Rhinolophus ferrumequinum: one gene and its partner. The protein of the gene in region 1 purifies or fractionates together with the protein of each later gene. This does not show direct contact. Links are inferred from orthologs where the notes say so. Each region holds a gene or a part of one and is shown on either strand. Other genes may lie near its edges.

Region 1 (7,442 bases):
GGTAAAACGGGGATAATAATCTAACGGGGATAACAATCTAATACATAGAGTTGTAGTGAGAACGAAAGGGCCTAATTATTGGATGGTCCAGTGCCTAGAGCACAGGTGCTAGCTGGTGGAAAGGTTATCAGCTTTCTCTGTAACTGACACCAAGGCTGGTACCAAGGCTGGGGGTCAGATGAGCACTCAGGGTGAGCCAGGTCCCATCCTGTCACAGGGGGTGGAGTGAGGGTCAGAGGAGAGATTCAAGTCAGTCTCCATTGGAACAAGGCTGATGCCATGTTCTCTGACTGTCCCCAAATGCCACCAGCCCAGGCCTGCCAAGGACCAGATGTACATTACATTCAGAAATGGTCTTGACTTTCCACGCCATTTGGAAACATCAGTGGAGCAATTCACTGTAGGCAGGTAGGTGACCATCAGCCATCATAATGATGACAATGGCAAACACACCAGTCTATCACAGGCCGGTCATCGGCGCTATCACTACCCCATTTCACAGATGAGAAAACCGAGGCTCAGCAGTTAAGTCATCAGGCCAGACAGGAGGCCACTCTCCTAACACTCTGCTCCGCCCGGCCCGGCATTCTTCACTTCTTGGGATATAACAAGAGCAGAATATTGGGAGCCAACTGCAGACAGTGACAGGAAACGGAGCCAGTCCTGCTGTTACCAGTGCAGCCCCAAACTTGGGGGCTGGAAGGCATGGCTTCCTTCTGGGCCTCCCCTCAGCATCTATCTAGGAACCAACGTCAAGACAACGGGCTCGAAGATGGCTTTGAAGAGAAGGCAGAAAGGCCCAAACGAGGGGAGGAGTAAAGTGCGTAGTGACAGGACACATCAGCCCACATTCTCAACCAACTTCCCTATAAACAGGATGATGGAGATTTCCTCTGCCCATTCCTCACTACTCACCCTTGTACCTCCTCTAGCCTGAGGGGCACCCTCTTGAGCCTTTCTTCCTTCTCTTCAAGGCCATCTTTGAGCTCCCAATCTTGGTATTGGCTCCTTGATGTGTGCTGAATACCTAAATGTATCCTCAGTGACACATACCGACCTCCGCCCCCAGTCCCAGCACTTTGGGCTCAGAAGCAATGAGGGGTGGGAACAGAGGTCGATGTATAGGCCTGAAAATGACTTGCTGTGTAAGTTGCTCTACCTCTCTGATCTTGTTTACTCACATAAAATGGAGACAGTAAGTAGTATCTGTCACAGGACAGTTGTTACATTGATGAAGAATTCTGTCACCTCCCTGCTCCACCCCACCATCTTCCTCACTGGCCTGGCAGCTCCCATAAACACACATCAGGCTACTAGATGAATCAACAAAGACTTGGCCGCGGAGGATATCCAAACTCATTGATATTCCTCGGCAAAGGTCAGGTTTCAACATACCCAAGATGGTCTCTGCCCACCAGGACCATCGTGTTAGACTGTGAAGAGGCATTTTCATGTATTAACTACCTACTATGCACCAGGCACTGTGCAAAGCACAATTTCCCTTAACCTTCCCAGTATGGCCACACAACTATAGAGAGGATGAAACTGGATTTGCCCCCAGGTCTGCCTGACTCCAAAGGCTGCCGATTTCAGCAGCTTCCCAGGATGTAACCGGCCAAGCTGGCTGTGAAAGCTGGGCAAGTGCCTTACTCTGCTGGGGAAATTCCCTATGTGGTGGTGTGGGGGCAGACAGGAGGCCACCTCTGGGGACAAGCCAATCTCCTGATTGCCCTCTCCCCTGGCAGATCCTGGGTCTCAGGGTGTGAGGCTTCTAGGTACAGCATTCAAGACGTCAAGGCCTCCACGACAAGTCTAACGTGGAGCAGAGTATACACTAGGGCTGTAGTGACACAAACCTTGTCTCTCAGAGGGTGCGGCGGGCAGAGAAGACCCTTGGGGGCAGAGAAGGTGCCTGGAGAGAGGGTGTACCAGGCTAGGAGAGAGTGGGTAGGACACTCCACCAAAGCAGGAGGGAGGGAGGGAGTGTCTGGGGCTGGCAGGGCTCCCGAGCTGGCTCCAGCAGCACTTTCACAGAGGAGGGGAGTGGTGAGTCACAGTTTTTCTCACACCCAGAACTCTGGTGGGATGTGCTGCTCGTTTTGTTGAATGAATGTTGGGCTTAAATAGAAAGGTTCCTGAGAAAGGTTGGCTGCAGGACGAAGCGGCCAGCGGCCTTTTGAAAGGAACCACCTTCAGTCGGGACCTCTCTAACTAAATCCGCGCTAGAAGGAGGAGAGCCCAGCAATAGGGCCATGCTCCCTCTCACAGCCATTCTAACTCCTCCGCTCCCAACCAAGCCTGTGCCCCTTCGCAGCATCATAGCCTCGGTTCGCATACCAGCTAGGACGGGGAGCTAAACGCCCGCCGGGACAGCCCTGTCTGTCCGTTGCTGGACAGCTCCACCTGGGCGCATCGGCTTCCCCACCCTTGCTGAGGACGACACTCCTCTCTGAAGTTTCGTCCAGCTCTCTAAATCTGCAAATTTGAGAACTCCAAGAGCCCAGGAGGGAACTGGGAACGAAAGGACGGGCTGCAGGGAGGCGCCGCGCACAAGTAGATCGCAATGCCCGCAACCCCTCCTGAGTCTCCCTCCCCGCAAACGCGCGACCCCAGGATGAGGTGGACCAAAGGACACGGACAGAAGGAGTCGGGACAGGCTAAGAGAAATGAACAGACGGACTAGCTGCCGTTAGGCATAGACACTGCATGCAGAGGAAGATAGGGAGTCGGCTGCACGGACAAGAGGCAGACAAGCAAAATGGACCTAGGCGGCCCCTTGGAAGAGAAGGCCCCGGGACAAGGGGAAGTTTGGGTGTGGCCCGGCGGATCAGCAGACACTTACATTCGCGGCCATGGTGGGACCCGGCTCGCCGCCCTGTCTCGTTCTATTCAGCTAGGAAAGGGCTTTACAGAGTGCGGAGTCCAGAGGTCTGTCGTCTGCCCAAGAGCTGAGAAAACCAGCGTGAAGCCCAGAACCAGAGAGGACGCGCTACGATGTTACCGCCCCGTGGTCCCCGGCTTTTCTGCTCATGCGCGCCTCAAGGTCTTCTGGAAACTGTAGTCCGGGGTCAGGTCCTTTCTTCACAAAGTTGCAAAATGCATTGCTTGTCATTGATGCGCCTGCGCACTGCAAGCTTTCTGGGAAGTGTAGTTCCTACTGCCTGGAGAGTAGCCGGGCAGCGCGCAGCCTGCTGGGAAATGTAGTTCCCGGCTGAGAGGATCGGGCTGGGGCTGGAAAGGCACGGAGGCAGGCGCGCGGCGGGCAGGCCTGGAGGGGGCGGGTCCGCACGGGCCTCAGAGCTTCCCGCCCTACCTGAGGAGAGGTCACGGCGTGTAGCGGCCTCCGCCGCCGCTACTGTGCAGAGTCAGACGTTGGGCTGCAGCCATGGCCTACTGCCGGCAGGAAGGTAAGGAGGGTGAGCTGCCTTGGAGACCGGCCTACGAGGGCCTGCAGGGGACACGCGCGGTCTCTACTACCCCCGCAGGCCTCGGCGCCCCGCGACCTCACTGCCGGCATGGGCAACCTGAGGTGGTCCCGGGTACTCTCGGGAAATTTGGAGCGGGCTGGGCGGTGAGGTTGCCACCCCGGTTCTGCAGGTGAGAAAACTGACACTGGGAGGAATGAGGCTGTGCCAAGGTCACGGTGAGACTCGAACCCGGACCTCATAGGGACCAACCAAGCTCGTGGGAGATTTCATCATTTAGACCCGAGCTGGTAAAGGGAGTGCTAAGCACGTTTCATCTGGCTCTCAACTGGGAAATTATTGTCATTAATTATTACTATCGCTCTTAAACACATACCACGTGTTTCCACTTGCACGCGCCTTTTAACTGTTTTGAAAAGTAACCACTCGGGTTAGGTGTTGTGCTAGAGTGGTAGAAGTACCAACAACAGGAATATTTAGTGAGCCCCAACTGCATATCAGGCACTCTTCAAGGAGCTTTTTATATGACTTCTCTCATTGATCTCGCAGTGACCTTTATAAATCAGGCTCTGGTAAGACACAAGTGACTTGGCTAAAGCCACGCGGTGGGGAAGTAGGAGCTGGGGTTTGAGCCCTCGCAGTCAGATTCCAGAACTGCACTGTCCAATCTGGTGCCTAGTGGATTTCTGGAAGCCCTCTGCTGGAAAGACACCCCATCCCCCACCCGCACCCCCAAAAAAGTTGGACTCAGTTCAGAATTCTCCAGGCCCACTTACTGGCTCGACATTTGTCCCTGAGCCTCTACCTAACCCCTTCAGGCCTCAGTTTCCAATCTTGTAAAATGAGAAGTTAAAAGAAGTTGGCCTTGCGGGTTGCGGGTTAGCTCAGTTAGAGCCTGGTGCTAATAACACCCAGGTTGCCGGTTGGATCTGTGCATGGGCCACTGTGAGCTGCGCCCTCCTTAAAAAAAAAGAAAAAAGTTTTTTTTCTCTTCATTCATTCAGCAGGTATTCATGAAGAACCTTCTCTGTGTCAGGTGATGGGGATGGTGGACACCTGAGAAGCTACAGAGAGAGTTGGAACTCACCCAGAAATTCTTTGGTGAATAGTCAGTCCATCGCCCTCAGTTTAATTCAGGGAATCTGAAACCCAGAGAAGATGATCTACCCAAGATCATACATCAAGTTAGGGAAACATCTCTGTGTAAAATGCTAAGCCTTTTTCCCCACCCCACCTGGCTTTTAGAATTCCTCCTCCTTTCCTGGGTTATAAAGCTGTAATACTCACTGATATTGCTAATGAGAGTATTATTTCTATTTGTTTTTAATTGTGCCATGAACAAAAGTTCTCTGCCCTCACCACTTTATTAGAAAAATAGGTGTGTTTTTAATTTTCTTTCTCTGAGTCTCTAATTTTCTTCATCGTGTAGGAAGTAATTTTGAGCCGTTTTGGTATAATGAGGCTGCGCAGATAAATAAGAACCCTCCTTGCCCTCGAGAATTTCTAGGAGTCACAGGTTCTCTGGGAAGGAGAGGCAGGTTCCATCGTCTACCAAAGCATGGCTTATCTTTTCCTGGGTCAAAGATCTTTTTCTTAGTTTAGGGATAAGAATTGAAAGCACTCAGGCCTTCACTAGGTTTTATCTTATCCATATTACAGTCCCCTAAATCCCCAACTTTTTATTTTTCTGTCCACCAATTTTTTATGCTTCTCTTGGGACTTAGGAAAATGACCCCCAACTCCTTGCTGTATAAGGGCTTATATGATCCAGTCCTGCCTGATCTAGCTCCAGCCTGATCTCTGATCTCTGTCATTGCTCAGCCACATTGGCCTTTTGGCTGTTCCCTTTGTCAGCAGCAGCCTTCAGCTCTTGCCATAGCTGGCTACTCATCCTTTAGGATTCAGCTCAGATGTCACCTATGAGAGGTCTTCCCTGACCCTCTGTCTTTCACACACTAATTCTTTTTTTTTTTATTGGGGAAGGGGAACAGGACTTTATTGGGGAACAGTGTTCACCTCCAGGCCTTTTTTCCAAGTCAAGTTGTTGTCCTTTCAATCATAGTTGTGGAGGGTGCCGTTCAGCTTCAAGTTGTCCTTTCAGTCTTAGTTGTGTCGGGCGCAGCTCAGCTCCAGGTCCAGTTGCCATTTTCTAGTTGCAGGGGGCGCTGCCCACCGTCCCTTGTGGGAGTTGAACTGGCAACCTTGTGGTTGAGAGGACGTGCTCCAACCAAGTGAGCCATCTGGGAGCTCAGCGGCAGCTCAGCTCAAGGAGCCGTGTTCAATCTTAGTTGCAGGGGGCGCTGCCCACTATCCCTTGCAGGACTCCAGGAATTGAACTGGCAACCTTGTGGCTGAGAGCCCACTGGCCCATGTGGGAATCAAACCGGCAGCCTTCGGAGTTAGGAGCACGGAGCTCTAACCGCCTGAGCCACCGGACCGGCCCCTACATACTAAATTTTCTGAAATTACCTTATTTATTTTTGTCATCTTATTTCCTGACTGTCTTCTCCCACGAAGCTAAGAGCACTAGATGTGCCATATACCCAGCATCTAGCACATGGGCTGGTGTACAAGTGGGCACCCAGATCTTTATTGAGTAAACTTATACACATGCCTGCCCTCTGTTCTGAGTGTATCACTTGCCTGTGCAAATTTACTTCAGGGGTCCACCCACCACCCAACCTTCACTTTAAAGGCCTTAGCTTTCTTTCATTCAAGGCATTCCACAGCATGGACTCAGGCTTGGTCCCTGGCTTTGGGCTCCCCACCCTTTTACTGTCGGCACCCCACTGTTCCTCACTTTAGGTTCCTCCTTTTCTGACTGAGCTTGCCCTCGCCTGTTCAGCTAACAAACATTTACTGAGCACCTATGATGTGCCATCCGCTGGGCGTATAACTGAACACAGGTGACACTTTCTGCCCTCATGGCATGGTGGAAGAGATGGGCACTCCTGCGTGTAATGATCCCATGCGTGTTCGTGTTCCCCTTTCAGGAGAAGATGAGACCACCCATCTAAGGGTGTTCTCTAACCTACTCAATGGTGGTAACCATTCTGTCTTCCCGCCCTCTGTGTCATTTCCTAATGCAGAGTTCAGTTTTTCAACAAGTGTTGGTTACCCACTATGCTGTGTGGACTGTTCTGGGCTCTGGGGATATTGCAGTGAAAGACAAACCCTTGTCCCTAAGGAGCTGACATTTCAGTGGGGGAGATGGGGGTAAACAAATATATAATATGTTAGGTGAGGAAATGCTTTGGAGAAATATAAAGCAAAGGGAGATGCGGAGTGGTCAAGGAAGGTGGCATCTAAGTAGGTCGTATGAAGTCAGGGAGAGGGTGGCTATGAAGGTACCTGAGGGAGAGAGCTCCCGGAGGAGAGGACAGCCTATGCCAAGGCCCAGAGGTAGGTGTGTGCTCAGCCTGTTCAAGTAAAGGAAAGGAGATGCTGGAATGGAGGGAGCGAGTGGTGGAAGATGGAGTCATGAAGGTGAGGGATGCAGATCTTTCTAGATGTGTTAGAAGCTAGAGCCAACCAAATTTGATGGTGGAGGTGTGAGAAAAAGACCAGGGTCAAAGATGGCTATACAGAAAGTAAAACTACAGAATTGGGGGTGTCGTGGTATCCAGCTACTCAGTCATTCCTTCTGTGCTCTGCCCCGCTCTGAAGTCTTGCTTTCAGAGTCACCCCTGGGCCTTGGATTCCCAATCCTGGGCTGGGGATTAATTTTCTTCTATTTGACTTCCCGTGCTTGCGCACATTGGCCTCAGCGTTCTCCATTCTTACGTCAGAGCACTCTTCTGTCAGCATTGCCACTTCTAAAACGGGTTTCACATCTCTAGCCTCTGATTGTCTGTTTTCCTGGCCATTTTATCCTTGTCATTTGATGTCATTTAAAAAATGACTGTCTTTTGAGCGGGATACAGGTGAGAAAAGAAACTCATTTCATTTTCTTTGTTGACCATGATAGGTAGGCTGAGCTGGTGAAGAAACTGGTTTCTGACACCCTAAGAAGGTGCC
Region 2 (6,893 bases), on another chromosome or scaffold:
CTTCTGAACTCCCCTCATCCTTCCAGGCACAGCTCAAATGTCATCCTGACCCTGAGGCTTTCCCCTATCAGCTCCAAGACAGGTTACATTCAGTAGGACTTTGTTTACCTTTAGTAAATTATGGGCTTTTGCTCGTGTCACCATAACAGCTAGTACTTAGGTGCCAGGCACCTCTCAGAGAACCTTCTATGTAATAACTCATTTAATCTACCCATCTACCCTGTTATTATCTCCAGGTTTACAGCTAGTCAGTGGAGGAACTAAGACTTGAACACACACAGCATGTCTCTAAGCACCACCTCTCCACCCAGCATGCTTCATCTACAGACCAGGAAGCCTTTGAAGTTCAAGAGCTACACTCTGTTCTCCTGGTACTCTAAGTGCCTGGCACACAGCAGGTGATTACTAAATGTGTTCTGAATTTAACTGAAATTTGTTTCGCATGCATTCCCGTGTCTTCCTCACTTGTTTCCCCAAAATAAGACCTAGCCGGACAATCAGCTCTAATGCGTCTTTTGGAGCAAAAATTAATATAAGACCCGGTTTTATTTTACTATACTCTAAGACCGGGTCTTATATAATATAATAAATATAACATAACGTAATATATAATACCAGGTCTTATGTTAATTTTTGCTCCAAAAGACACAGTAGAGCTGATTGTCCGGTTAGGTCTTATTTTCGGGAAAATAGGGTATGATTTTCCTCCCCAAGGCATCCATGGGATCTTCAAGGAGAAAGACCAGATCATCTGTTTTATTCCACAGGCCCACAATCACAATGCATAACGAGCTGGGGAAGAAGAAGAGAGCTCCAAGGGGTGCAGTGGGGGGCAAACTAGTTTTTGATTAATATATGTCTTAAGGGTGCACAATTTACAAAGGGTTTTTTCAGATGCCTGATCTCATAGGTCCTGACATCAGCAGGCGAGGGGGCGTGGAATGGATGCAGAGAAGGTAAGGAGACTAAGGTGCAGATTGCATGAGATCCAGTCAAGCTCTCAGAGCTAGAAATATCTGAATGAGATCACAGAGATTACAGCCCAGGGTTCTGAATGAAGCACCCGAAAGTGGGTCTCCTGTTCACCCATGTGGTTCCGGGCAGCTGTGGCCATCAGGAATAGCTGGCTGAGTGGGTCAGCTCCTCCCCCAGCTAGGGTGGCCTTGGCAAGCTGTGGCAGGTGCAGAGGCAGGTGGGAGGCCGGTGAGGGCAAGAAATGGCCAGAGGGGAGGCTGGCTGGATGCTCTAGAGAGGAGGCTGGCTGAGCAGAGGTGGGGCAAGATGTGTTAAGTCAGGGTCAGCAGGGCATCTGGGGGCCTAAGTGTTTGGTCACCCTTACCAGACAGGACAGTACACCCTGAGAGGTGACATGATTTACAAGTAGTCTGATAATATAGCCAGGAAAAACTGGTTTGTCCTCCCCATTAATTGTAAGTAGTCAGTGTTTCCCTATCATTTATAATTATCCCATTGCCTTTCTAAACATCTATACCTTTATTGTCCTAACTCAACACACTTCAGACCGAATTTACTTGATGTCGTGCACAGATAGGAAGGATTTTGAGCTGTACGCGGCCTCTGCAAAATGGAAGCTTTCCCCTAATATAAAGGGCAGTGAACTTCTAGCCAAAAGACCTATCCTCTCTTACCAGCTGGGTGGTCTTCTGCAAGTCTTTTCACCACCCCAGGTCTTGATCTACCCTTTTGCAAAATGGGCATGAAAATGCCACGCACCTTCCCATTGCCCCCAAATTGTGGCAATGGCCTGCTCCAAGGCCTTTAAGCTCCCAGCTTAGGCTTCCTGCTGAGATGAATGGTCTCCTGGGTCTCGGTCGCACCATCCTCGCTATCCAGGAAATGAATGAGACACTGCAGATGTCTACACAGAAATGTAGGGAGAACCACCTCCCACTGGGAACCGCCCACTGGAGACCTCCGTCCGTGCGGTTTAAGTGAAAGCTCACAGATCGCTGAGCTCCAGCGGTGGCGTTGACAGGGGCGGGCGAGGTACGCTGTAACTCCGGGGGCGCAGTGGGGTGGATCCGAAACCCGCGTTTCCTGACTCTGCCGCTGAGGGCGTGGGGGCTCCCTTTTCCCGCCCTACCCCTAGCGGTGGCAGCAAAGCGCCCTTGGAGGCCAGCCCCGCTGTCGGGCTGGGGGACCACCTTGCTTACCTGCGGCTCCACCAGCCAGCGCTCTTCAGCGCCGCCGGGCGCCAGGCGCGGGGCGCGGAACGCCGAGTACACGGGGATGTGGTCCCGGGTGCTGTACAAAGTGGCGAAGCGCTCAGTGCCCTCGGAGCGCTGACAGATCTTCACGTGTCCCTCGGCCGCCAGCCCCGCAGGAGGGGTCTGGGCATAGAAGAACTGGTCACATTCTCCAAAGCCGGCGTCCTCCTGGCCCACCAGCCGGCCTTCCAGCAGCGCGCCCAGGGCGAGGATGCTGCCCAGCGCGAGCCAGCGCGCGGGGCCCATGGCGGCCTCTGCGAGCGCGGGGCGGCCACAGCGCGGGCTCTGCGGGCCGGGAGGGGAGCTCGAGGCCGCGGCGCGGCTGGGAGGGGAAGTCGGAACCCCGGCGCGGCGCTGCTGAGCTGGGCCAAGCTGGGCGGCCCCGGCGGCAGGGGCGGGTCCACGTCCCCGAGCCGCGCCTCCTGCGCACCCTCCCTCCCTGAAGATGGCTGCAGAGGCCCAGTGCCGGGGCCGGAGGATGCTGGCAACGTCCCCCGGGCTGTAGGCCGGCCTGGAGACGCAGGGCACCTGCCACTGCACTGCCTCGTCTCCGCAGTCCGCAGGAACGCGCGCTCCGAAGAGTGGAAAATTTGAGCGGAGTCAGCCTTATCCGAAGGACTGGGAAGGGACGGTCCCTTGGGCTGCGTGCCCCAGGGACCCTCGGGAATGCAAAGGGGCGGTGTGAGATGCTCACGGAACTGTGGTTCTTCTTAGTGGCTGGGCAGAGACCTCCTCTGAAATCCAATGAAAATTAGTCTCCCCTCCCAACGAAATGCTCAACCGCTTTCACAGGCACACAATTTTGATGCCTTATGGCAGATCAGAAGCCCGGAGACCCAAGTTAAGAAATCCTGTTATAGGAAATTCTTAACCTAGATAGATATAATGGCCCTTGTGGTTCACTTGGGGCAAAGCTTAGAAACAAAATCCATACCAAGAAAACAAGAAGACCAGCCAGCATCATTGGTTAATAGATTCATTGATTCATTGCTTCATTCATCCCACTGAGCGCCTACGTGCCAGCCTGGGTCAGGTGGCAGGGTTCAGTGGTAAATAAGGTCAGAGTCCCTGTGGTCATGAAGACGACAGTCTAGTGAGAAAGCTTGTCATTAGTCAAAGAAGCATTCTAGTAAAGGAATGATTAAACACTGAACATGGATCTATGAGAACCAGACCGCTACAGCGATTCAGGTATGGTCTGGGGTTTGCTTGAAGAAGTGGTGCCTGAGCTGAGACCTAAAGGACGACATTAACAGGGCGAGCTGCTCTGCCTTCGACCAAGTAAGGGCAATGCTGGGAACTTTCACGCAGCCAATGAGTTGTTTAACATTGACTTCATGCTGTCTCCAGCTTCATTCCAGTGCAAGACTGACATAGACCATTGTACCACAGAACTTGAAGTTGGTAGGAAAGACAGATGGACAAGCAACTACAATACAGTGTGAAGGAAGTGTGTGATGAGGGCAGAAAAGGGTCACCTATGCTAATCTGGGGAGAAGCTAATCTGGAAAGACAATGGGAATGGTATAATAGAAAATCACACTTAATGATAACGTACATTGCAATAGTGGCTCATAAACTAGAATAATAATTTCTAGGTGCCTGAAGCTACTTCTTTGGCTCTCCTATCTGTAGATTGTCTAGCACGCGTATGAACTTGACAAATAATAAGTAAATTAACCCCCTTTGGATTACTAGGAGAGGTGAGGAGGCTGAGTACTCCTGATTTATTTTCCTAATAGTGACTAAATCTAAGAAAGCATGCCTGCTTCAAATCCTCTAGTGAGAGGCAGAAGGCCTCTGAGTCAAAAGGGTTGTTGACACCCAGGCCAACAGAAGGCTGAGTCATGCTCAACTAAAATTGTGGGCAGAGCTGTCTTCTTTCTAGCAAAGCTACACTTTGGATGATGTCTAAAAGTAATATTAGACAACTTCAATGCCCCTGGAAGAAGTGCACCTGTGTGTACATACACACTCTCTCCCCATTAGACTGCACTAAAAAAGACACCTGGTCCAACTAATGGGCACTTCTGGAGTGTTCAACTGTCTTTTGGGTATTTGTCCAGATGTTAGAGAATTACTTCGGCCTGGAATAGCTTTGAATTCTTCATGCAGAGAAATATTTGAAACAATTTTTTGATATACCTCAATAAAAAATAAATTCATAAATAAAAGTTTTTAAAATAATTTTTCTGAAACTTTTTTTTGGCTTTCCATATCTATAGGGAGAAGAGTGTAGTGATTATGAGAATGAACTCTGGAGTCAGATTGTCTGGGAGACAGTAATGCTGTCTCCTTTTAATGGCCGTGTGATCTTGGGCAAATTATTGAGTCTCTTTATGCCTCAATTCTCTCATCTATAAAATGAGGATAATGAACCTACCTCCTAGTGTTGTTTTAAGTTTTAAATGTATTCATATACCATGTTTCATTGATTCTAAGATATGCATTTTTTTCACATTTTAATGTCTCTGAAATTAAAGAGACTCTCAAGCCTCTTCCCACCAACCTTAATTTAGCTCAATTTCTGCGCCCCAAAAAGAGTTTATTCAGATAACAGACATGCAGACATGAGTGAATATTGTATATTTAGAAAAGGGAATAAACGAACTTCCCTGGCTTTTTGTTTCTTGCTGATTACATGTTCCCTTTAAAATTGTATTCAGCTGTCAATGTGAGAATGTACAACATTCTGTTTTAAACTTCCCCATTTTTAAGTTTCTCCATTTTAAGTAATATTTATGTTTTTGATCTGTATATTTTTATTTATCTAGAATACATATTGCCTTTGTATTAAGAAAGTAAAAAAACAAAACAACAACAAAAAAAACTTTCCAGGAAAAAAAGGAAACTTTTTGTTAAAGTGCTATTAACATAATTCTAATAGAAAAATTAGGAAAGTAGAATAAAAAATGTCATCCATCATATGATCACACTGTGTGAACATATGCAAAGGATAATAGGAGACTGAGAGAGTTCAATAATTGTCTTTGTATGATAGGATAAGTAAAATTATTTTATTCTATTTTTATATATTTAAAATTTTATATAGAGAAACTATCTTGGAAGAGAGAAAACCAAAGTACTTTTTTAAAACAAATAATATTAAAGTCAGTTGCAGTTTGGAAACCACTGTAGATTTAGTAAGTATAAATTTTAGAAAAATCTCAGGAGGATTTCATTTTCACTAGTTATTCATAGATCACTAAGTCATTCTACCTTATGCTACAAATACGAAATGAAGTTTCTGATGAAGCAAGATGACCAAAATCTACATTCTCAGATATGGATAAATTGCTTGGCTTGGCTCTCTTGCCTAACCTGTATTAATATTATTTAATATTTGTCGTAGTCCTTTCAGGCTAAAACAAAATGTCATAGACTGGGTTGCTTATAAACAACAAACATTTATTTTGCACAGTTCTGGAGGCTGGGAAGTCCAAGATCAAAGCGCCAGTAGAATCAGTGTCTGGTGAGAGCTCACTTCCTGGTTCATAGACAGGTATCCCCACATAGAAGGGGCAAGTGAGCTCTCTGGGGTCTCTTTTATAAGAGCACTAATCACTTTCGTGAGGACTCCACTCTCCAACCTAATTACTTTCCAAAGGCCCTACTTCTGAACACAATCATGCAATAAGTTCCAATGTCTGAACTTTGAGGGGACACAAAACCTTCAGTCTACGGCAATATTACTGAAGACAACAGTCCGCTCAGTGGGTGAAGGAAGTCTGTTTAAATTAAGTAGATGATCTCTTTCTTCCAAATACTGATGTGCATAGAAGAGAAACTTAGTTATTCATTCAACAAACACTGAGTGCCCCCCTTCCCCTTGTGGGCCAGGCTCAGTGCTAATTGCTGGGGACACAGAGTGAATAAAATATGGTCTCAGCTGTCCTGGAACTCCCTGTCTAAGGTACCAGGTCATCTGTATTTTAAACACAGAACTTTAAACATTTATTTCAGAAATCCATCTGTCCAAGTATCTATTCCATTAATATTACTTATGAGTTTAAAACAATTACTGTTTGTCACTAAAAAATAATTAAGGAAAATATTCAGTCCTATCTCTACCTATGTGTGTCTGTCTTAGTCTGCATGTAACAGCTTATGCGAATTGTAAAAAAGCTCCAAAAGTGCAGATAAATGGAAAAAGCATAGGTTTGGGCATCAAGAGACTTTGGTTTAAATTTGAGCTCTGCCACTTACAAGTTACATGAGCTTTCTGAACCTTAAATCTCTCATCTGCAAAAAGGCAGTAATACCTACCTCATATTGTTGACATGAGAATTAAATTAAATAATTAAATAACCAATATGAAGTACCTAACCTATTGCAAAACTCAGTAAATTCGTTCGTTTCTTCCATAGAGTTCCTCTTTAGGTAGGTGGCCAGACTTTCATTTAGGAAAAAAACTGATAACCCACAATTACAAAAATCTGGAAATTACAACACAGGTATTTTAGGGCTTTGGTTTTATTTTCAGAAAGATGAAATGTAGTTTATAGATAGGTTAGCTGCAAGGTTCAACTTGGCAATTCAATTCTAAATCAAGGCAGCATCTTCAGGGTACAGAACCTTTACAGCACAACCCTCCTGAAACCAAAAGACCCTCCTGGGTCCATCGGCTTTGACCAAGTATCAGCTCACCTTCTGATGCGTTAGCAC

The links.
Region 2: the proteins of TMEM43 (region 1) and ENDOD1 purify together in Homo sapiens (affinity purification with mass spectrometry; 3 studies listed by BioGRID and IntAct, with this or other methods). This does not show direct contact. The link is inferred for Rhinolophus ferrumequinum from reciprocal best matches to the Homo sapiens genes TMEM43 and ENDOD1.

Annotation. Positions count from the first base shown.
Region 1 is NC_046300.1:40,404,390-40,411,831, reverse strand, and holds the start of TMEM43 (transmembrane protein 43), read right to left. Parts: upstream 3,010-7,442; 5' UTR 2,855-3,009; coding exon 2,843-2,854; intron 1-2,842. Other genes in the region: CHCHD4 (mitochondrial intermembrane space import and assembly protein 40), read left to right, coding at 3,386-3,407. UniProt on the Homo sapiens protein: May have an important role in maintaining nuclear envelope structure by organizing protein complexes at the inner nuclear membrane. Required for retaining emerin at the inner nuclear membrane.
Region 2 is NC_046294.1:65,825,304-65,832,196, reverse strand, and holds the start of ENDOD1 (endonuclease domain-containing 1 protein), read right to left. Parts: upstream 3,001-6,893; 5' UTR 2,475-3,000; coding exon 2,175-2,474; intron 1-2,174. UniProt on the Homo sapiens protein: May act as a DNase and a RNase. Plays a role in the modulation of innate immune signaling through the cGAS-STING pathway by interacting with RNF26.